Lonchura striata: one gene and its partners. The protein of the gene in region 1 purifies or fractionates together with the protein of each later gene. This does not show direct contact. Links are inferred from orthologs where the notes say so. Each region holds a gene or a part of one and is shown in the gene's direction. Other genes may lie near its edges.

Region 1 (7,600 bases):
AGAGAGGGAGATATATTTGTTCACTGGGGTTATTAAAATTCTAAATATCTTCCTTCTTTTATTTGATTTTAGTGAGATTCCAGACATTTTCTCAATACCAAGAAGATTGGATTCATTGGAATATAACTCTGACAGAAGTCTTGCAAGGAAACTTTAATTTTAGTCCAAACTCCATTAATTTAAGATATCCCTAGAAGATCTGGACAAGGTGAACCTTTTTTTATGAACTATTTTCAACCCTGGTTTAGGATGAAGCTATTTTTTTTTTCCTTCTTAACACTGAAGAAAAAGCCTAAAAGCAAAACTTGAGACCATTATTTTGCTTTCATATATATCTTAATTCCTGACAGAACTCCTGATGGCCGCTTTGCTTAAGCAAGGACAGACTTAGACATTTAAATCTGACTTTTTGGGTGTTATCTTCCTGCTGCTAGTGGAATAAACTACTTAAAACAGAGTTCTGCTTTCGTGGGTGCCTCTCTACTGCTCTGTCATTGCTGCCTTTTGCATAGAGAGCACATTATGGTAAGAGGCTCAGCTCAGCAATTCCAGTATTTGCTACCAAGGGAGACTCCAGCAGTGATTTCTCCCTGATCCTTGGTGAAGGAGCAGGGATTTGTCTCCTGATTTTCCATCAGTGAACTCAGTGACCTGTGGTTTTGTGGATAGATTCACTGGACATATTGTTCTACTCACAGCTTTTTGAAGGTACATCCAGCCAAAAGGGGAGTTGAAGGAGTTCATTCCAATAAGACTCTAAAACCCAAAGTATTCACAGAAATCACAGAATGACTAGATTGGAAGATACCTTCAAGATCATTAAGTCCAGCCCAGCCCCAACACCTCAACTGAACCACGAAGTAATGTTAATTATTCCCCTTGCACACAAACCTTCCCACCCACAATAAGAACAGTGGATTCACATTGATTTCAGGGGAAGAATGTGCTTGCAGAGAACATTTAGGAGCAGTGACCAAAATCAGGGCCTGACAGGCCACTTGGAACTTTCTTATCACTTCTTAATGCCATCTCAGAGCTGTTAGCCACAAAAAAAGATGATAAGATCCAACTGAAACAGGGTAGATTTACAGTAGATATTGGAAAGAAACTGTTCCCTGTGAGGGTGGGGAGGCCCTGGCACAGGGTACCCACAGGAGCTGTGGCTGCCCCATCCCTGGAAGCATTCCAGGCTGGGTTGGACAGGGCTTGGAGCAACCTGGGATAGTGGAAGGTGTCCCTGCCCATGGCAGGGGGTGGAACTGCATGAGTTTAAGGTCCTTTCACACCCAAACCCTTCTATGATTCTACAAAGAAACAAGGTTCAACTTTCTACCAATTCCTTTGGAGCCACATTAGAAAATCAGCAAAATTAATGCTCTGGGCTGCAGAGTCTTCATCTCCTTCTCAAGAGGAGGAAAACTGGCATTGAGAGTGCACCAGCTTTGCTGCTGTCATTCCCAGGCCTCTCCAAAACAACCCAAACCAGCATTTGTGTGTGTTTCTCAGAGAGGAAATTTATCTAAAACTCCCAGTTTCTCACGGCAGCCTTCTGCCACCTGCCTGTGCTCGCTGCATCTCTCACTGCCCGGCCATCAATCTCCAGTCCTGCACCACTCTGCAGAGGGGCAGCCTCCTACTCCCCTCCTGTCCCTGCTGCCATGCAAACCCCTCCAGGCTGAAAGGAGCCAGCAGCAATTCATCTCACCTCATTGAGGCTTCTGAAATGTTTCTCTGCTGCCTGAAGGCTCTGCCTGTTTAGCTCATTTAGCTGACTTTTAGAGTTAGGGCAGCAGATCCCACAACTGCCAGGTTGCTCAGTTGCCTTATTTATTATTATATATCATTTAAACCTGATCATGAGGTGCTGCAGTGTCAGCCCTTGCCTTTCCATCTCTTTCACCAGGCTCACAATGAATGGGACACCTCACCACGGTGCCATGAACTCTGTGCTCCCAGCAAGCTCTCTCTGAACGCTGCACATCACAGCATCTGAACACCTCATCTTCACCTGGTTTTTGTTTTCTTCCCCTCTAAAATCCCTGTGTTCATACAAATTCCTGCACCCACTCACTGCTGGTTCTGTAAATCATTTCTCAAAGCAATCTGAACTACTAAAAATCAAATCACATTGAAGTCACACATTAAAATTTTAATCCAAATGCACTCAGCCAAAAATCTGGAGCGTGGTGGTCATCTGGGTGCCTTCCACATAAAGTCCAGAGCAGGAAGACCTCTGTGAATCCCTCTGCAATTCCTCTTTTGTGACTCAAAGCTCCCAGTTGGATTTGGTTGGATGAGCTTTCTTGTTTCTTTGGTTTTGCGGTTTCCTCCACTTCTGAGCCATGAGGGACAGGAAGGTTCATTTCCATCATGAGCTTATGGATTGAATGCATTGCCTGAGAGTAAATATTGCAATGTAAAATATTGCAAATGAATGCAGGCTGTCTGTGCACAGCCAGATCCCAGTGATCAGAAATGCCTATGTCGGATTTCATCCCAATTTTGTGACCAGGCACAATTGTTACACTCACTCCCAGCTCCAAACAGTGTGGTTTGTTTGATGTGCTGGGGAGAAGACTGCCTGTAGCTTGCTTTAAAACCAGCTGGAGGCCAGCAAAAAGACAGATATGTGGCTGGGGAAGCAAATTCTCTACCTTATGTCTCATTCTGCCTTTGAGGTCAGAGACTTGGCCATGTCAACCCACACAGCATCCTTTCCACGGATGAAGGTAGGAATCCAGTGGAGCTGTGTACTGCATCTGTTCCAGCCTCCTCAGCAGCCTCCTGGCACAGCACAACAGCACTTCCACCAGAGGAACAGGGGTGGCTGCCACCAGCAGAGAGCCAACAGCTGGGCTGCAGGTGTGTGTTTACCTGTACTGGGATGAAGGGCTGTTCTCAGGAGCCTGGGGTGGTACAGCAGCACCTCAAACCCACACAAACACAGTGCAAAGGACAATTTTAAGAGATTATAAGGGCAGCACTTCAGGCCTGTGCAGGTACTGAGGGCCCAGGTGATATGGCAGCATCTCAAACCTGCACCAGCATGGCATAGTACCCCTGAAGGGACAGCTTCATGAGGCTGGGGATAAAGCAGTGGCTCAGTGCACAAACACGGTGTTAGAACTCTTGGAGGGACCACTTCTATGGCCAGGTGATCCATCAGCACCTCCAAGCTGTGTTAATGCAGCACAGCACTCTTGGTGAACCAGTGTGCCTCAGCCAGGAACAGGGCACCGCTCACACCTGCCTTTTCCAGTACTCTGGAAAAGCCAACTTTGGCAGGTCGGGAAGTCATCATCACCTCAGGGCAGGGGACACTGCTGCAGTGGAGTCAGCCCTGTGGGGGGGACCAGCCATCACCTCAGGGCACGGACCTGGGACTGCCTGAGGCAGAGACCCTCCATTGCCGCAGGTGCAGAACCCCATTGCCTCACGGCACAGAGCGGGGCACAAACCCTCCATGGCCTCATGGCACAGAGCGGGGCACAAACCCTCCACTGCCTCATGGCACAGAGCAGGGCACAAACCATTGCCTCACGACACAGAGCAGGGCACAAACCCTGCATTGCCTCACGGCACAGAGCAGGGCACAAACTCTCCACTGCCTCATGGCACAGAGCAGGGCACAAACCCTCCACTGCCTCATGCACAGAGCGGGGCACAAACCATTGCCTCACGGCACAGAGCGGGGCACAAACCCTCCATTGCCTCATGGCACAGAGCAGGGCACAAACCCTCCATGGCCTCATGGCAGAGTGGGGCACAAACCCTACATTGCCTCACGACACAGAGCGGAGCACAAACCCTCCATTGCCTCACAGCACAGAGCAGGGCACAAACCCTCCATTGCCTCACGACACAGAGCGGGGCACAAACCCTCCATTGCCTCACGGCACAGAGCGGGGCACAAACCCTCCATGGCCCCAGGCGCTGTCCCAGTGCCGCCCCACAGCACGGACCCTTCCCCACCTCGGGGCGGGGAGCCGCTGCCAGCTCAGGGCACAGTCCCTCCATCGATCGCCTCATGGAGGGGGAACTCTCCGTTGTCCCAGGGCGAGGACCCGGTGCCACCTCTGGTCCTGGTCCCAGTCCCGTCCCAGGGCACGGACCCAGTGCGAATCCAGGGCACTGGATTCTCTTCCTGGCCCCAGGTGCGGTCCCGGTGCCACCTCAGGCACGGACCCGGTGCTGCCCCGGGCGCGCTCCCGGTGCCGCCTCAGGGCACGGACACTCCCTGGCCCCGGGCGCGCTCCCGGTGCCGCCCCAGGGCACGGATCCGGTGCTGCCCCGGGCGCGCTCCCGGTGCCGCCTCAGGGCACGGACCCGGTGCTGCCCCGGGCGCGCTCCCGGTGCCGCCTCGGGGCACGGACCCGGTGCTGCCCCGGGCGCGCTCCCGGCGCCGCCTCAGCCGCGCCCGAGGCGGGAAAACGCTCCCGGCGCGCGCTGGGGGCGGGGCTCAGACGGGCCGATGGGGCGTGGCCTGAGCGCGCCCCCGCGGCCGCCGCTCGGGCAGGAAGGGGCGGGGCCGGGCGGCGCGCGCGGCCCTACGGAAGCCGGGCCGGCGCGCTCGTGTCCCGGCGGCGGCTGAGGCGGCGGCCCCGGCCTGAGGGGCTGCGGGCGAGCCGGGGGTCCGGACGGGGCGGGGGACGGGATGGCGGCACCGTGAGGAGCTCGGTGAGCGGCGGAGGGGCAGCGGGAGCCCGTGGTCGCGCCGGGGAGGGCAGGGCGGGAAAGCGGGCTCGGGGCGAGGCTGTGGCGGGAGAGGCCTGGGAGCGAGGAGGGGGCCGTGAGGGGCCGGGCTGTGGGGCAGCGCAGCGCGGGCGGTGGCGGCCGCTGCGGAGCGGGGGTGAGGGCTGGGTTGGGCGGGTCCCGGCGGGCAGGGGGTGCTGAGTGTCGCCTGTGTCGCTCGCAGCAGCCTCGGCGCGGACTGGATGCCCGCGGGCGGCCGGGCGCTGTCACACGCCGCCCGCGCTCTCGGCCGGGCCGCAGCGCTGCTCTGCCCCCGCCCGCAGCTCCCCTCGGCCGCAGCGTTCTCCCGCTCCGCCGGAGGCAGCCCCGGGTGCTGGTGGCAGCTGCTGCTCCAGCCTGTCCCTGTGCCATCCCCGAAGCAGCGCGGAGGTGCCGGCGCGTCCCCGCTGCCGCTCCCGCTGTCCCCGCTGCGCTCGGCCTGCGCGGCCGCGGAGGACATGGCAGAGCAGCGGTACTGCGTGGACTATGCCAAGCGAGGCACGGCGGGCTGCAAGAAGTGCAAGGAGAAGATCGTGAAGGGGATGGTGCGCATCGGGAAGATCGTTCCCAATCCTTTCACCGAGTCCGGAGGGGACATGAAGGAGTGGTACCATGTCAAGTGCATCTTTGAGAAGCTGGACAAAGCCCGGGCCACTACTAAGAAAATTGAGGATATCACAGATTTGGAGGGGTGGGAAGAGCTGCAGGATGAGGAGAAAGAAACAATCAACAAGTACATCTCAGGTGAGGCACGAGGCAGTTCCAGGGTCACTTTCCTCCTTATTTTCAGGTTATGCCAGAGGTTGTTACCAGCTGTGCCTTTGCCATTAAATCCTCGTGGATTTATTTGTGTGGCTTAGGGACAAAACATGTGCTGCTGTTCCAGCCCCTGCCTCAGCTGTGTAAGAAAGGGAAGAAATGGTCACTTCTGCAGTGACACTCCTCAGTTCGTTTGTCACAACTAGTTCTGGACAAGAGCTATGTGATTTATTTCATAAGCAAATAAAACCCATGGTGAATCATCAGTTATTTTCCATTTCCACATTTTTCTGTGATCTTTAATAAATTACATATTCTTCTAACTTTTGTTACCTGAAAAACATCTTTTTTTTCTCCTCCAATTCCCATTTCTTTTAAGGCTTTTTACTTTGTAAGCCACATAATATGGTGAGTGATGTATGAGATTATTCCTGACTGCCTCTTTGAACCTTTCTGCTTTCCAGAAGCCAATTCCAAGACTGGAGGTACCCCAAAGAAAAAGGTGATAGTGCAGGCAAAACTCACTGCCACAGGACAGCTGACCACAAAAGATCCACCAAAGAAATTCTCTGGATTCAGTGGTAAGAATTAAGAAATGGTTCTGAGAAATTCATTTTTTTAGTCTCAGCATCAAGAGGTGTTTCTGCTTGGCTCAGATCAGTAGGTTTTTATCTATAGATGATTCTGGTTTGTCAGTGCTTTCTTAGGCTGTCAGTCTTGAAAGAACATCTTGAAAGATGTGTGGATCTCCAGTTTTCCCAAGGAAACAAAGGTTCTGCTATGACCCACATTGTCAGGCTGACTGGCTCATTGCAGTCAAACTGAAGACATAGGCTAAAGTTATCCCACGTGGAGCTCAAAATCTGGAAAAAAACTGCTGAGGGATTCTCAGTTGTGTTCATGGAAAACTTGTCCTGAGGAGCAGGACAGTCCATCTTCCATCTGTGAGCTCTGACTGACCTGACACCCACCTGGAGCCACAGCAGAGCCAAAGACATCAGTTCCTTAGGGATTGGTGTTAGGAGAGGATGGGGATGTATTCCCCAATTTTAGAAATTACCTTAGAGAAGTGTTTTGCTTTGAAGGCTAAAAACCCATAAAATAGAAAAAAAAATCTCTAAAACAGAGGCATCTGGAAGGAGAAATTAATTTTCACCATGACTTAGCCATACTTTTCTGGTAGAACCAAGATCTAGGAAATTCTGGTGTGATGTGAAGGGTAAAAATAATTGGAAGGTTTTTATAAAAGTCATAGTTGGAAGGTTTTTATAAAAGTCATAGTTGGAAGGTTTTTATAAAAGTCATAAATTTTAGCTCTGAAGCTTCGCCAGCACACTGGGATTGTTCCCAGCTTGCCAGGCAGAGATAATTTCAACATTTGCTCCGTGTTGTTAAAAACAACTTGTGGTGTGTTTGATGCAGCTAAGCCCAAGAATTCAGAAGATGCCCCTGCAAACCCTGCCCAGAAGCCCAGCCTGTCTGCAGCCAGGTGTGATCCCAAGCACAAGGACTGCCTGCTGCGGGAATTCCGCAAGCTCTGCGCCATGGTGGCTGAAAAGCCAAGCTACAATGTGAAAACTCAGATCATCCAGGACTTCCTCAGGAAGGGATCTGCAGGAGGTATGGCTCCAGCTGGGAATTCTCAGCTCTCTCAGAATCAGTTTCAAAGGCTGATCTCTAAAGGAAAGGGGAAATTCAGATCTGTTGTGTGGTCCTAGCCTTGTGCTGTGGTGATTTCTGAACTGTGGTGGTAATCTTTGAAAAGTGAACTCCTTAAATAGTAAATTCAGACAAAAATTACTCACTTGGGTGCTGTAGGTGCCAAATTTAGTGCTGAGGTCAGATTTAGAGGCAAATTGTGGCTATTTTCCCTAAGAATTCCAAGCTACAACTGTGGATTTTATCCCCAGGGTTTGGACACAGCCAGCCAGAGCCTGGACATGAAAATAAATCCTCACTGCTATAATGTGCTTTTTTTTTTTTTTTTCCAGATGGTTTTCATGGTGATGTATACCTCACCATTAAGATGCTGTTACCAGGTGTCATTAAAATAGTTTACAACTTGAATGATAAGCAGATTGTAAAGCTGTTCAGCAGGATTTTTAACTGC
Region 2 (7,001 bases), on another chromosome or scaffold:
ACTCTCAGGAACACTGTAGAGAGTGCTTTTAGTTAGATCTAAATGTAACACTACCAGGAAGGGAACTTCAGCTTGGGAAATGATGTATTTTAATGACTACAATTCCTGAAGTCTCCTTTTCATTTGGAAGATGAAATGCTAGCAGCTAGTTAGCTGAATGGTTGCTGAAATATAAGAGCATTTTAGATGACTTTAAATAGTTTTGGGGAAAAGAGGATCATTGAACCAAACTGACAGAGAATGAAAAAAAAGTCACATAGACATGATTCCTACAATGTTGCTATTTCCCAGAAATGACAGTATTTATATGCAGACATACATACAATATCCATTCAACAATGAGTTTAATCTCTGTTTACATTTTTTCCCAGTTATTTGCCTCAGAAGGTTTAATTATAAACACTAAAATTATATAAAGTTCAAATTTCTATTAATAACCACACTAAAATAGTATTTTACTCACAATATAGCATTGTTATAACAAATTATTTAGAAAAATCAAGCGGAGCAGGAATGTGATTTAAATTCTTAGAGCTCACCTTTTCCAAGGAAGAGTTCATTCATGACATCTAGCGGGTAAAGTTAGTATTACTTTTAACTTACAGAATAAAGGCAAACGCGACCAAAAAAAAAAAAAAAAAAAAAAAAAAAAAAAAAAAAAAAAGCAGCAACAATTTACTAAAAATTCGATTGCTTGATTGCAGTTGATGATGCTAAGCAATTGCCATTTCTACTGAAAAAAAAAATGTTAGTATGTAGTGCAGCTGAAAAACAGTTTCACCTTAAGAAATAATGTATGCACACTATTCCCCATGTCCTGCAAAAACAATTGGAAGGACTCTCCTTGCCAGGGATGTTCTTAACCATTTCCAAAATAATAGAAGGGCTGTTCCTTTAGCCTATGATTTTGTTAATTTTGACAACAAAGCAATACGCACAATAACATGCTCAAGAACTGGATCTTAACAATTAACTTTTAGGATTGCAACATCTGCATTTGGTTCCTCTCTGGTACACAGTGAAAGTTGTGTCTCTCAGAACCAGATTAAAAACCATACGCACGTTGAAAGGAACACACTCAGGACCCAGTCATCAGCAAAAGCAAAACATGTGGTTGTGCTACAAACCTTGCCTAATGCACACTAGCAGAAGCCACAAAAAGAAAAGTATCTGCTTCCCCAGGGACCTTTTAGAGATCTTCACAATGAGCAGTAATTGGGTAAAGGGCAACAGTTGCTGGAATTGGGCCCACTTAAGGAGCTAGCAAAACCACTAGATGACAGAATCAGCCCTAGAACAAAGGTTTCTTAATTAATTTTTGTGCAGCTGCACAGACCAAATGGTCACAGTAGTGCCTAAAGCCACAGCAGGTGTGATTTGGCACCTTTTCAGGAAGAAATAACTAAACCTGCATCTCATGTCTTCCCAGGAGTCCTCTATTTGTATTCTCTTTCCAAGGAGATGCCATCAGTGACTCATGCACAGTGCCTGCTCTTGTTTAAATGCCTTAAGCATGTTTTGAGTACTCCTGCTGTAAGAAACACTCAGGGAATTTGACAGAACACTTAATTTTTATATAGTAAAAATATCTAGGAGAAGATAGATAGGGAAGAAGTTGAGCAGTTTGAGATTCATAATTCAATAGTTAGGACTCACATCAGAAGCCTTAAGCATTTTTAGATCTGGCCACAGTTCATTGAAAAAATGTTTACCCACAGCTGAAATATATGAGAAATTACTACTTTCATAGTTTACTAAAATATTTTTGTGGGTTTTACTAAATTATCATAGATACAATTTTGCTTATGACCTTATCAAGACAGTTTTTGTAAACTATGTGCTTAATGTAAAAATAATAAAAGTAATTATTTGCAATCAGTCATTGGGGAAGAAGATTGCTCAAGCTGGAGAAGAAAGATGATTCAGCCTTTCCATACTTTATATATATAATACACATTATAGTAATTGGTCTCATTTATTGACATGCCATGAGAAAGACAGACTCACAGATACACTATGTGTATTCTGAAATCTTTTGTATTCTTTATACTCTTTTTAATTCACTTGTACTTACTTGAGTAAAAATATTACTTCTAAAACTACATCAAGCCATACAATATATCCTGTATTTTCCTGTAAGTATGGAAACACATTATTTCTCTCAATTAATCTTTCTTTTCTTAAGATTTCTATAGAGCTGTAGATTTACATTTGAGAAGTCATGCCTAAAAATGTCCAACTATTAACTATTACCTGAAATCAAAACCAGATATATTTTTGAGAATACGTGTTTATTATTGGGACATGTAGCAGTTTCACAGTTACTGAGACCACTGAATAAAATTGAATGTACCACTGATAAAAACCAGTAACAAGCTCAGTAAGTCACTTATGTATCTTGTACACATATGAAATACAATACAACTTTCTACTGATCACAGTCTTCAACAGAAAAGCCAGGGTTTTGATTATTTTCTTTTGGAATAAATATGTGCAAATTAGAAAATTAATTTTAGGGTTTGTAGGCATTTCTGTTTACCACATCTACAGCAATCCACTCCAGTTAGTGTAGGCCAGTCAATATATAGTATTTTCAACAGTGAGACATCTATAAGCTGGATCTTCAGAACATAAATGGAAAAGTATATACCTTTGAGGGTTTCTAGAAAAAAAAAAAAAACCATTACCAGACCAACTGTAGAGTCTTCTCTGCTTAAATAGCCTTTGCTATCTTCATTGCACACTTCAAAATCCTGCAGAAAGAAAGTGATTCACATAAAAAAACCAATAAACCTAACCTAGGATTTTTTATTTTGCAAAACTGTTATGGGGGAAAAAAAGAGGCACTTGTTGAATCACTTCTATTCATCTACTCTGTTCCAGTAAAATTGAAAGTGGGAGCACATTCAGTTTGGGATTTTAGGTTAAAATAAAATTTTTCATACTATTACATTTTATGTGCTTATGATGAAAAAGCTTTTTGCAAACTTAGACTACATAGTACAGACTTATAGGAAACAAATCACATGAAATTTCCTTCTAGCAGACTATACTTTTTTTTTCCTGAAAAATGCCAGATAACTTTAATTCTCAGTTAAGTCACCACACAGACAGGAACTATAAGGAGAGAGTGCAATGAAAGCATAGTCAGAAGCCATCAAACTTTCTGAGGTACTTGCAGAAAACAAAAAAACATTTCCAAAGAGAAGAGACTACACAGAGAACATACAAAGCCATCCAACGTTCCTAAGAGCTTTTCCCACAGAACACCTTCAGGAAGGGTTAACAATACAGCATCATATCGTACAGCAGCAAAGGGTTTACCCACAGAACATTTCAGGGAAAAGTTACGTACGACTCTGCGGACAAGCACTGAGAAAATTACACAAACCAGCGGAATTGTCAGGAAAGCTTTTCCTGGAGTAACCTGCCGTTTTCATTGCGTGTTGGCACTTCCAGAATTTGTTAACTGCAGCCACAAGCTTGCAACAAATTAGAGTAAGGAGAGCCGAGCGCTCAGTTCACCGCAGCGCGCTTTGATGCGGGCCGCGCTCCTCCTTTGATTAATATCACACCTGCTTTCCTCCCTCTCCTTCCCGAACTCCTCACGCACTTATCTCATTAGCGGGGCACTTCAGATACAGTAATTAACACCGCGCCGAACGAGCCATTATGCAAATTCCGCACCTGCCCATAATTAATATTAAGGTCCATGACGGCTGGTTAGAATAATTCAGCTCGCCAAGCCTCGGCCGCCCTGCCGCGGCGGCCCCGGAGCGCCTCGCGGCGGCCCCGGAGCGCCTCGCGGCGGCCCCGGAGCGCCTCGCGGCGGCCCCGGAGCGCCTCGCGGCGGCCCCGGAGCGCCTCGCGGCGGCCGCGCTCCGGCGGCTCGGGGCGGGGCCGGCGCGGGCGGGCGGGGCCCGGGCCTGCTCTGGCTCTCGCTGCCCTGCGCGGGCGCTGCCGGGCGCCGGCGGTCGGTGAGCGGGGTGAGTGAGTGAGTGAGTGAGTGAGTGCTGGCGGCGGCCGGCGGGCTGCAGCCCCGCAGCGGCTGTCGGGGCTCTTTGCCGCGGCGCCGCCGCGGGCGCTGCCTTCGCTGCGGGGCGGCCGCGGCCGGGCTCCGCCGCCGGGGCTCGGCGGGAGGCGCGGCGGAGGGGCGCGCTGCGGGCGCGGGGCCGGCGGAGGAAGGCCGCGGTCCCGGAGGGTTCCCGCGGGGCCGCCCCGTGCTCCTGAATCCGCTCAGCAGACGCCTCAGCCGCGGGGAAATACCTGTGTCGTGCAGCTCGCACCTCTGATTTTTGGAGTGCTTTCTCATAGGAGTCTGTGTCTTATCCCGCTTTCCATGTGTTGGTTTTCACATTTGCTGCTTCCCATTTGATGGTTGCCACCATTGCACGTGTTTCTTTGTTTCCCGGGCACAGAAACAAGTCGTGTACGGTATGAAGTTTCCCAGAGAACCTGCCAAATACCAAAGCACGGTTCTTAAGTAATAAACAAGTAGGAGGTAGGAAGGGAGACAGACTTGAGCGTAGCAAAAACGTACAATTTTTGTTTGGTGTTTTTTCATTCCTAGGAACATGCTTCAGGAAGGTGCACACGGTAAATGGACAGTATCTAGCAGCGATGAAAGTGCTGATGAAAATTCTGACAGTGAAAAACCATGTACATCTTCACTATCAGATGCTACATGTGGTAAAACAAGTGGACCACAATATCCATGCTCTGAAGCTAGGAAAGCTGCTCTCAAGAGAAAAACTTCTCCCCTGAAGTTCACTGATAAAAGTCTTTCTACAGATGCACCTCCAGCAGTAAAACAGAGACCAAGCCAAGAAGGCTCAGGTTGGTGTCTTTCTAGTAGCGATGAAGAGCCTGAAGATCAGCAAAAGCATGTTCACAAAGAAACAGTGAAAGAAGAAAAATGTGATATGCCTGAAGAGCATCCTCTGAATCTTTGCAAAGATGACAAACTCTCGGAGAATCTGAAAGAAGAGGAGTATAATGTAACACCCAGTGAAGCCCAGGATACCTGGGATTTGGTGACTGGAGGCAATCCTTTCAGGTTTTTTCTCACTAAAGTCAGTGGAATTGAACAGAGCTATAATTCTGGAGCCCTGCACATAAAAGGTGAGCAAGTGTCTTCTACTAGAAGAGGGCTTTTGGGAGAAAGCAAGAGAATGCTTATTTTTGGTTTGTGGGTATTTTTAAATGCATGTATTTCTTAGTGTTGCTGATATTTCATATTCTAAATGGGCTGGTTCATAGAAATTGTTTCTTTTATTTGGGCCTTTCTCTTTCAGAGGTATAAAACATTATTTGCTGATACTTTGTTGTAACTTGAATTAGGCGGCAGAAATATAAAGTGTATTTAGCCAAGACAAATCATGCTGCTTCTTACTGCTGCTTTCTTTATGAGCTAGTCTGGGGAAAACCACTTGTGGCATTTAAAGGGATGCTTTTCTTGGGTGCATAACTCTGAGTAGTTGTTTGCACCTGCCTCTGTGCTGTTGATTGGTTTGGACCTAATAATTCACTATTAATAGGTGAAGTACTTCTGAAGTTCTGTGTCTGGGGTTCATGTATCTGTTTAAATTCAGCTGTGAGAGAGCTGTCCATCAGTCAAGATGGAGTGGAGCCTTTGGTGTGCAATACTGATGCTTTAGGAATGCTCTGTTGTCATTTGATGTTGGGGGAAGAGCTTTGTGCACCTTTAAACATCCCTGTAGTTAGAAATAAAATTTTATACATCACAAGACAGAATCAGAAACAAGTATCAGTAAGAGAATTGTGTACAGAAATACAATAAAATAAAGCAGAAAAAAATAGTAGTTCTTTGAGGGAGAAGAAATTACTTAAGACCTATATATACAATTAGGTTGTAACTTTTCCTCAACCTCATGCCTACTAGCACAAGCAGGCGTGAGGGACTTTAGAGCTTTAGTCCAGGATGTTTTTATATGCTTTGTGAATTTGTGGCTTTTGGACTGTCCTGTCCTGGGAGTCCTGCTAGGTGATTAGTTGAGCTGGTGGACAGGCAATATTCTTTGTTTAACCAGCTAAACCAGCTTCAGTTGTGGTTATAAATCCCCAGTTGGATTAGTTTCCTGTGCTACTGTGATTGAACTATGAATACACATATCCCACAGTCAGTCTGCAGCAGATAAAATAAGCATTGACTTATTGCTTTTAATACTTAAATAAGCATGCCCTTATTGCTGCCACCCTGCCACAGTTCTTCAAGTCCACTCAATAGTGGAGAGAGTAATTTAATGGCCCTTTCTCAAGATGTTGTTGAACTTTTTCCCTATCAGCTTTTAAAACTTGTTTAATACTTTGAGAGGATTATTAATTTTTGTAAGGATATGATCCTAAATGATTCACAGGGGAGTCAGTGACTTGAATACTTAGAACAGTAAACTTGTGAATGCCTCTGTTACACCAGGTCTATGAACAATCTGGCCTTTTTGCTGTGGTATCAAGCTGTTCAAGATGCAAAACATTTACTTGACGTCTTTTTTATTTATTTGTGCTTTAATATTTTTAATAGATATTTTGTCTCCTCTTTTTGGAACTCTCGTATCTTCTGCCCAGGTGAGTTTCCTGTTTGCCAAACTGATTTCACTTGCTTGCTTCACTTCATTAATCTTAAACTTGATAATCCATGCTTGTGCTACATAGCTGCTATTAACAGGGAACCTTGTTAAAATACAGAGGGAATTCTAAATATTTTCAACTGTTGAACAATTTACTGAATATAAACACTGTCCTATGATCTGCTGTAGAATTCAGGGAATTATAAGACTACTTTCTCCAGTTTTTGAGGAAAGTGAAACTGAGAAGCATGTATTTATGCTCATATAAATGAGGATTTTTGAAAGAAAGAACACCTTGCAATTTAGGAATAATATCTTTGTTATTGCCTAGAAGTTTTGCTATCATTGATGATATAAACACATGGCAAAGAGATGATCCTTCAACCTAAGCTTTTACATTATGTGCATTTGATT
Region 3 (7,250 bases), on another chromosome or scaffold:
GTGGTCTTTCTGATCCAAGACAATAATAATATCCCCTGGTTCCAGACCTGGCTCTTGGTCCCCTTCACCATGGAATGTTATTTTCTGGCCATCCTTCATTCCTATTGTACAAAACAAAGAAACCATTTTCTTATTTTTAAGATAAAAGCAGCAACAACTAACACTTTTACAGGCATGAGCTGGTATCAAGATATCTCTGGATCTTTAAGTAAGAACATCAGGATCTTCCCTTGAAACTTTTTTTTAAAATCCATTCACTTATTTAACAGATCTTAGCAGTGCTAACATGAATGCAGTCTCAAAACCATCAGGTTTAACTGCACCGACAAAAGAGCTACCAACATAAAGTCCTAAAGGGAAATATAATCAAAACAGTTTTCATTATACACACAAGTACAAAAAGGAAATCAAACACTGTGTACAAACTTTATTTCAACAGCAGTTGACCAGTCAGCTTCTTCACTTTCATAAATATGTAGCGCATCTCCTTATGAAGAATGATCTGATTGCCTGCCAAGTCCAAGAAGCATTCCCTATGGACTGAAAACCTCCCATAAGAAACTTGTTTCACCCACACAAGAAATCGATTGAACAAAAATACTAGCTTTCTTATCCTACATAAATCTTTTCCCTTACTTCTATAAAAACATCCTTCTCATAAGACTTCCCTGTTCAAAATATCAGTAATACATCCCTTCTAGACCTTATATTTACTACCACTATGGATCTCCCCTACAAATTCAGGTGCTGCAGAAGCTCTGCTTACACATGTAACAGCTGCAGGCCATAATCACAAGCAAGACCGTTTAAGTCATGTACTTGTCAGCGTGCTCTGCCTTACAAGCTGCATTACTCCAGACTTCTCCCACCAGCTTTTGGGCAGCCCCCTCAACAGAGATGCATTTGTCATTCAATACCATTCCGTTCACCCATCACGTTGAGGGTTTGTGTATTGAGGTGCATTTTGCCAGGCAAGGAAGTGGTACCTGCATTGGGCAGCACTGTCAGGGCTGCGTAGTCAACAGAGCTTTAAGCATGAGAGCCTTAGCACTGTCTGTGCACCCTGCCACTATAGCAGACCTGGCTCCCCTTCACACTGAAACACAGCGGAAGTGATCAGTCTGCAGTTTTGCTGCACGCAGTGAAAATTGATTGTGTTACCTGATCACAAATTGGGCTTAGAGGGACCTGAAAAATAATTCACTTCTTACAATAACGCAGGTTTCAGAATTCATTCTTAGTTATGTGCCAGGCTTTAGAAGTGAACAGAGATAGTGGACCTTCCCTAGAAAATAAGTCTACTTTTGTAAGGCAGCAGTAAGCAATTTTACTGTGTATTCAGCACTATTACTCACAAAATCAACACCACATTTGCTAAAGCTTTTGTTTTAGTGCTGCAAAGTCAGTCAGTACATTCAAGTTCAATACTTCACCTCAGTAAGACACCTCACCTTTGTCAATGTGAACTTCCAGTATCTTCTTCTCTCGAACAATTTTTCTGCCATTGCAGCTCTTACACCGGTCCTTGGGGCTGATACGCTCCCCATGCCCCTGACACTCAATACACACAGACTGGATCTGCTGCACCATTCCTGGCCCAATCTGGTGAATTCTGATCTGCATGCCTGTTCCCCTACAATTAGGGCAGCATTCTACAGCACCTTTCTTACCACCACGACCTGAGAACAAAAAATGGAGTTAGGTGGTTATGTGCTACCAGAAAAAAATCCCCCAAAGCTTTAGAAACATCTCTTTAATTTCAGTTTCAACATTACCTTCACATTTGTCACAGATAATGTTTTTCTGCAGTGCAAGTTTCCTCATCGCACCATTGTACATATCTTCTAAACTTACTGACAACTGGTGGACTACGTTTTTACCTGTAAAAGAACAGAACTTAATTAAAGTTTAGAAGCTTGGTTGGCACATCTCCCTGCCAAGCCAAGATAAACTAAGTCTCTGGGCTTCAGTATCTTGTATCGATAGAGGTTTGTCTTGTTTTGCTTGTATTAGTCAAAAGCTTCTTCCCAGGTGCTGTCATATTAGGTAACAGTTGTCATGACTTTGACTTTGTTAAAGTCAGAAGAGACCTTCTGGAAAAGTACAAACAAGTATGAGCAACAGAACACACAGAACCTCAAACGTTTAAGTTTTATAATGCAGGACTCAGGTTTCAACAAAGTCACCAAAAAGATCTACAAACAAGGCAGAGACTCTGTTTGGAATCTCCATTTCAGCACTTCCTTCCTCTCACCAGGTGACCTTCTGGAAGCAAAAATAAGCAATTATATTTTTACCCTCAAGAACTCCTTAGCACTTCAGCTGCTGTAGGCCTAGTTTTGTAAATGATGCTGAGCTCTGGGTTATTACAAGTACTTTGACACTCTTAACATTTTGATACAAAACATTTTTTCTTCATCTTTTCAACAGATCTTCACTAAGAGGTGACAGGCTCAGCACTGCTCTTAACAGCTTTAAAGTTTTTCCCAGCGTGATTAAACTGGAGTTTAACTTCTGGGTAGCATTTTACCGCAGTTTCAACTTAATTCCACTGCACAGTGCAGGAACACAGAAAAATTTCACAGACTGAACTGGATCTTGATATCTGATTTAGATAGTTGCTTTTAGATACTACAGTTACAGTAACTTAATTAGTAAACCATTTTAAGCTACTTTACCCTTCCATTTCCTATTTTGTCTACTAGCAGCTGGGCTTACACTCAAGCTAAAAGTACTCCGAACACACCTGCTTTAGCGATTAACAGGGGACAGTGCACAGGGATACCCAACTACCACCACACCAACCAAGGGCCCTCCCTTGGTGTTTCAGGTGTTAAGGGACAAGAGTTTTCTCCAATTTTCAGATTAAGTCTATAATTTCTGTTTAAACTCCTACATCTAAGGCATTCCCCTCAGAGAATCTGATACCCTCGCCAACACGTTACCTCGCCTCTCCCTCTGCATCCTTCCTCCACCGCCGAAGAACATATCGAATATGTCCATGGGTGACCCGAAGCCGCCGCCGGAGCCACCCTCCTTGATAGCCTGTTCGCCTCCTTTGTCATAGAGCTCTCTCTTCTTCGGGTCCGACAGCACTTCGTAAGCTTGCGAGATCTGCTTGAACTGCAGAAAGAACAGCACCGGCACTCAGGCACCCGCGGCACCCCCGGCGGGCCTCCCGCCCGACCCCTCCCGCGCGGCCCCCCCCGCCCCGGCCCGTCCCGTCCCGCCGACCTTCTCGCCCTCATTGGGGTTCTTGTCCGGGTGGTACTTGAGTGCGAGCTTGCGGTAGGCCTTCTTCAGCTCCTCGGCGGATGCGTTGGGCTTCACGCCCAGCACGTCGTAGTAGGTGGTCTCCTTCACCATGGCGGTGGCGGCACGGGGGTCCCGGGGCGGCGGTCGCGGATCCCACTCCGCGCAGCTCCGATCCCGACTCTTCTGGAAAGTTCGGGCCGGGCCCGCAGCCCCGCCGCTTCAGCAGCCGGCCCCGCCCCGGAAGTCCTGCCCCGCCGCGCGCAGGGCCCGGGCGAGTGGCCCACCAATGGCTGCTCAGGAGGGGAAGGCGCTTGGCCAATCTGCGCCCGCCTCCGCCGCCGATCTGGAGCGCGGCCCCGCCCCGCCCCGCGTGGGCGGCGCCGTCCCTGCCCAGCGTCCGCCTCGCCTTGCGCCTGCGCCGTCGGCCGCTCCCGCCCTCGAAGGCTCTGAGTAGCACCGGGTACGCAGCGCCGGCCCGGCCGTCGCCTTCCGGCAACGCTCCGCGCCTTACCCCCCTCACCCTACGCAGACTTGGCTCCGCCGCCGCAAGGCCGGCCGGCACTGCCCCTTTGTGAGGGCCCAGCGCCCACCCCCGGGTGCGCGGGCCCAGTGCGCCTGCGCGGAGCTACGCGCCGCGGCGGGCGCCTCCCTCTAGTCACGTGGGAGACACGCTGCCACAGCTGATTGGCTGCAGTGGCGGCTGCGGCGGCGCGAACATCACGCGCGCGGTAAGGGGGAGGGGTCGGTCAGGCGTTGCCATGGGAACGGGGCCCACGGGGATGGGCGTGTTCCCGTGGGGATGGGCGTGTGCCGTGGGGATGGGCATGTTCCCGTGGGGATGGGCGTGTGCCGTGGGGATGGATGGGCGTGTGCCGTGGGGATGGGCGTGTGCCGTGGGGATGGGTGTGTGCCGTGGGGATGGGCGTGTTCCCGTGGGGATGGGTGTGTGCCGTGGGGATGGATGGGTGTGTGCCGTGGGGATGGGTGTGTGCCGTGGGGATGGGCGTGTGCCGTGGGGATGGGCGTGTTCCCGTGGGGATGGGTGTGTGCCGTGGGGATGGGCGTGTTCCCGTGGGGATGGGTGTGTGCCGTGGGGATGGGCATGTTCCCGTGGGGATGGGTGTGTGCCGTGGGGATGGGCATGTTCCCGTGGGGATGGGTGTGTGCCGTGGGGATGGATGGGTGTGTGCCGTGGGGATGGATGGGTGTGTGCCGTGGGGATGGGCGTGTGCCGTGGGGATGGATGGGTGTGTGCCGTGGGGATGGGTGTGTGCCGTGGGGATGGACGTGTGCCGTGGGGATGGGTGTGTGCCGTGGGGATGGACGTGTGCCGTGGGGATGGGTGTGTGGCATGCCAGCGTTAGACTGGGGACCGAGCCTTGCTTTCCGCAGGCATGAGCTCTCCAGTGCAGAGCTCATGAGGGATCTTTACCAGGGTCAAACTGATGTAAGCTTGAAGGTTACATGGCATGGTCCGTGTGCTGACTGTTGCTGGATGAAGCTGTCACAACTCTCTCATCATGTGTTGTCTTCTGCTGCTCTCTCTTATTTTGGTTGTTAAATTAATCTCTTCGGTGAACTCTGATTCAGTGGGAAACAAAGTGACGTTTTTTGTGGTTAGGCTCTTCTGTCAGATGGAACTGTCAATAAAATTGATTTTTCCTATATATGGTTCACAGATGTGAGAATGTATGGTAGTGTAGGAAGGAAAACAGTATTGCCCTTTCAAACAGCAACCTGCTCTTGGATTATGCAAGTGCTGGTGACATGGTTTGCTTTGCATTTCAGAAACTTGAACCAAGTTAATAGAATTGGCTAACCTAATGGTAGCAGAATTCATGGACCATGTTCCACAGCAAGGTAGCCCATCAGAAAGTGGCGTGTTGGTAACACACTGTTTATTTTGCTCTATAGCACAGTGATGCGTATGTGCTGGCTTGTGAGCAAAGAGAAATGCACTCAGCGGGTGAAACTGCCACACTTGGAACCTGTGGTAATTGGGCGTGGCCCAGAGACTGGGATAACAGATAAGAAGTGTTCACGTCAGCAAGGTAAGGTGATTTAGCTCAAATCCTGCTTTCCACGTGCAGCAGCAACTGAGCGTGCCTTGTTCCTCTGTGTGTTCTGCAGTGTTGCCTGCTTCTTGAAGTCATCAAGCCTTTTTAATAAGCACTTATGGGGATCTCTGGGGCCTACAAAATCAGAGACAGGACGTCCGCCTCCACATACAAAAGCTTTTTGTGAGTTCCCAGGCCCACAATTGTGTTTCACTGCTCACTTCATGAGCAGCACTTCTTCTCCCTAGTATTCCACCAACTGATTTTTAGCATAATTATTATTTAATATGTAAAATAATGTGATCTTGGAGAATATATGAAAATACCTATCACTTATTTAATACTGCACATCTTCCCTGTGTTATATTCTGTGCCTCTGGACACAGTCTTGCTCTATGCCTTATTGTCCCAGTGGGCTGGTTAGAATGTCAAGCATATGTATAAATATCAACAGAATCCACCTTTGTTCCAAAGTAATTCCACCCTTGGCTCAGTGTATGGGTTGACTCTGTTTTACCTGTGGTATGAGAAGAGGTATGAAGAGATGAGGCAGAAATATTCTTGGCATGCATTCACAAAGATTAGCTCCAGAAAGATATGGCTCTTCAAAAAGAGGAGTGTTTTCTGGACTGGGTGGTTCAGCAGAGTTCTTTTTATTTACATGGTTTTGTGACACTTTGTTCTTTCTTTTCCAGTTCAGTTAAAAGCAGACTGTAACAAGGGTTATGTCACAGTTAAACAGGTATGTTTTTATGCATGGATCTCCAATATTTCTGGTACTGGGACAGTTGTACTTAACTCCACAACTGCTCCAAGTGGTGATTCTAATCACGGTGTCTGAGGGACCTGAAGTTTTCTTATCACCAAGAGAAGTTACAGCAAGTGTATTTTCTTATTTGTGCACCTCAGTGAGAGGTTGCACTATTCATTCCAGATACATTCCAGTCTAACACAGCCAGATTTGTAGCATCAGGGAATGCTGTTGTGAGTACTCAATCAGTTCTGTTGGGTGCTGCATTTGAGAGACTTTGGACTTCTTCTACTAAACTTGCTTATCTTTTTCCTGAGCCTTAAACTTCATAAGCTGAGGCAGCCCTTTGTTTAAGGTTGAAGTTCTTGTGTTAATGGGACTATGCAGTTGTAGAACATTTTTATTGGTGGACTGATAGGGCCAGAGATGTGGTTACTTATAGGAAGGGATGGGATGTAAGACAGCCCTGCAGGAATGTTACCAGATGGATGGAGGCAGGCCTATTCCCTCACACTTTACAAAACCCAGTCTCTGAGAGAATAGGAAGGGAAAGGTCTCTGGTACTGCTGCTTGTGTGTGTGAAGAGTTGCTCCCCAGGTGAGAGATGTGTGGCACAAGGTTCCAGTGATCAGTTGTTTGATACTTTATTCACTGATGGGAAGCATCCTTGACTTGAGGGAAACTGCATAGCTGTAGACTAAAGAGATCCTGGCTGGAATCAGGTGTGTGCTTCATTGCAGTGAATTCCAAGTGAGAGGTATAGTACTGTCTTGTGAAGCATGCAGGTATGGCAGTGACAAAGCTAGCAAAAACTCTGAGTTCATCAGTCACAGAAGAGAGCTGATTTCCTAAAACCCGTTTTGTGCATATACATTAACCAAAAGCATTTTGCTGAAGACTCCTAATTTTTGTAAGGTCACCTACATGATGATGCAAAATCCATCTGTCAAGCAATCTCTGTAGGTTGCCTACAACACAGTTTGATTGCACAAAAATAATTTGCTAAAACTACAGTTGCTCTTCAGAAATAGTTGCTGTTGTTACTTCATGTAACAGTTGTTACAGTTGTTACATGTAACAGTTGTAACTAGTTGTTTCATAGGTGTCTAATTTGTGAGGGAAGTGCAGCACAAGTGATGCTGTAACTGTGTAGCTGCTGCAGACCCAGGCTCCTTCTGATGGCAGGC

The links.
Region 2: the proteins of LIG3 (region 1) and TDP1 purify together in Homo sapiens (affinity purification with mass spectrometry; 4 studies listed by BioGRID and IntAct, with this or other methods). This does not show direct contact. The link is inferred for Lonchura striata from reciprocal best matches to the Homo sapiens genes LIG3 and TDP1.
Region 3: the proteins of LIG3 (region 1) and APTX purify together in Homo sapiens (affinity purification with mass spectrometry; 3 studies listed by BioGRID and IntAct, with this or other methods). This does not show direct contact. The link is inferred for Lonchura striata from reciprocal best matches to the Homo sapiens genes LIG3 and APTX.

Annotation. Positions count from the first base shown.
Region 1 is NC_134622.1:6,057,920-6,065,519, reverse strand, and holds the start of LIG3 (DNA ligase 3), read left to right. Parts: upstream 1-4,571; 5' UTR 4,572-4,677; intron 4,678-4,883; exon of another isoform or gene 4,884-4,915; 5' UTR 4,916-4,934; coding exon 4,935-5,475; intron 5,476-5,954; coding exon 5,955-6,071; intron 6,072-6,912; coding exon 6,913-7,110; intron 7,111-7,481; coding exon 7,482-7,600. UniProt on the Homo sapiens protein: Isoform 3 functions as a heterodimer with DNA-repair protein XRCC1 in the nucleus and can correct defective DNA strand-break repair and sister chromatid exchange following treatment with ionizing radiation and alkylating agents.
Region 2 is NC_134608.1:17,272,524-17,279,524, reverse strand, and holds the start of TDP1 (tyrosyl-DNA phosphodiesterase 1), read left to right. Parts: upstream 1-3,904; 5' UTR 3,905-3,986; intron 3,987-4,570; 5' UTR 4,571-4,574; coding exon 4,575-5,121; intron 5,122-6,541; coding exon 6,542-6,585; intron 6,586-7,001. Other genes in the region: EFCAB11 (EF-hand calcium-binding domain-containing protein 11), read right to left, coding at 2,651-2,759, 3,688-3,714. UniProt on the Homo sapiens protein: DNA repair enzyme that can remove a variety of covalent adducts from DNA through hydrolysis of a 3'-phosphodiester bond, giving rise to DNA with a free 3' phosphate.
Region 3 is NC_134642.1:48,009,897-48,017,146, forward strand, and holds the start of APTX (aprataxin), read left to right. Parts: upstream 1-4,153; 5' UTR 4,154-4,154; coding exon 4,155-4,336; intron 4,337-4,370; exon of another isoform or gene 4,371-4,371; coding exon of another isoform or gene 4,372-4,502; intron 4,503-5,169; coding exon 5,170-5,306; intron 5,307-6,007; coding exon 6,008-6,054; intron 6,055-7,250. Other genes in the region: dnaJ homolog subfamily A member 1, read right to left, coding at 1-101, 1,452-1,679, 1,776-1,880, 2,946-3,123, 3,235-3,366. UniProt on the Homo sapiens protein: DNA-binding protein involved in single-strand DNA break repair, double-strand DNA break repair and base excision repair.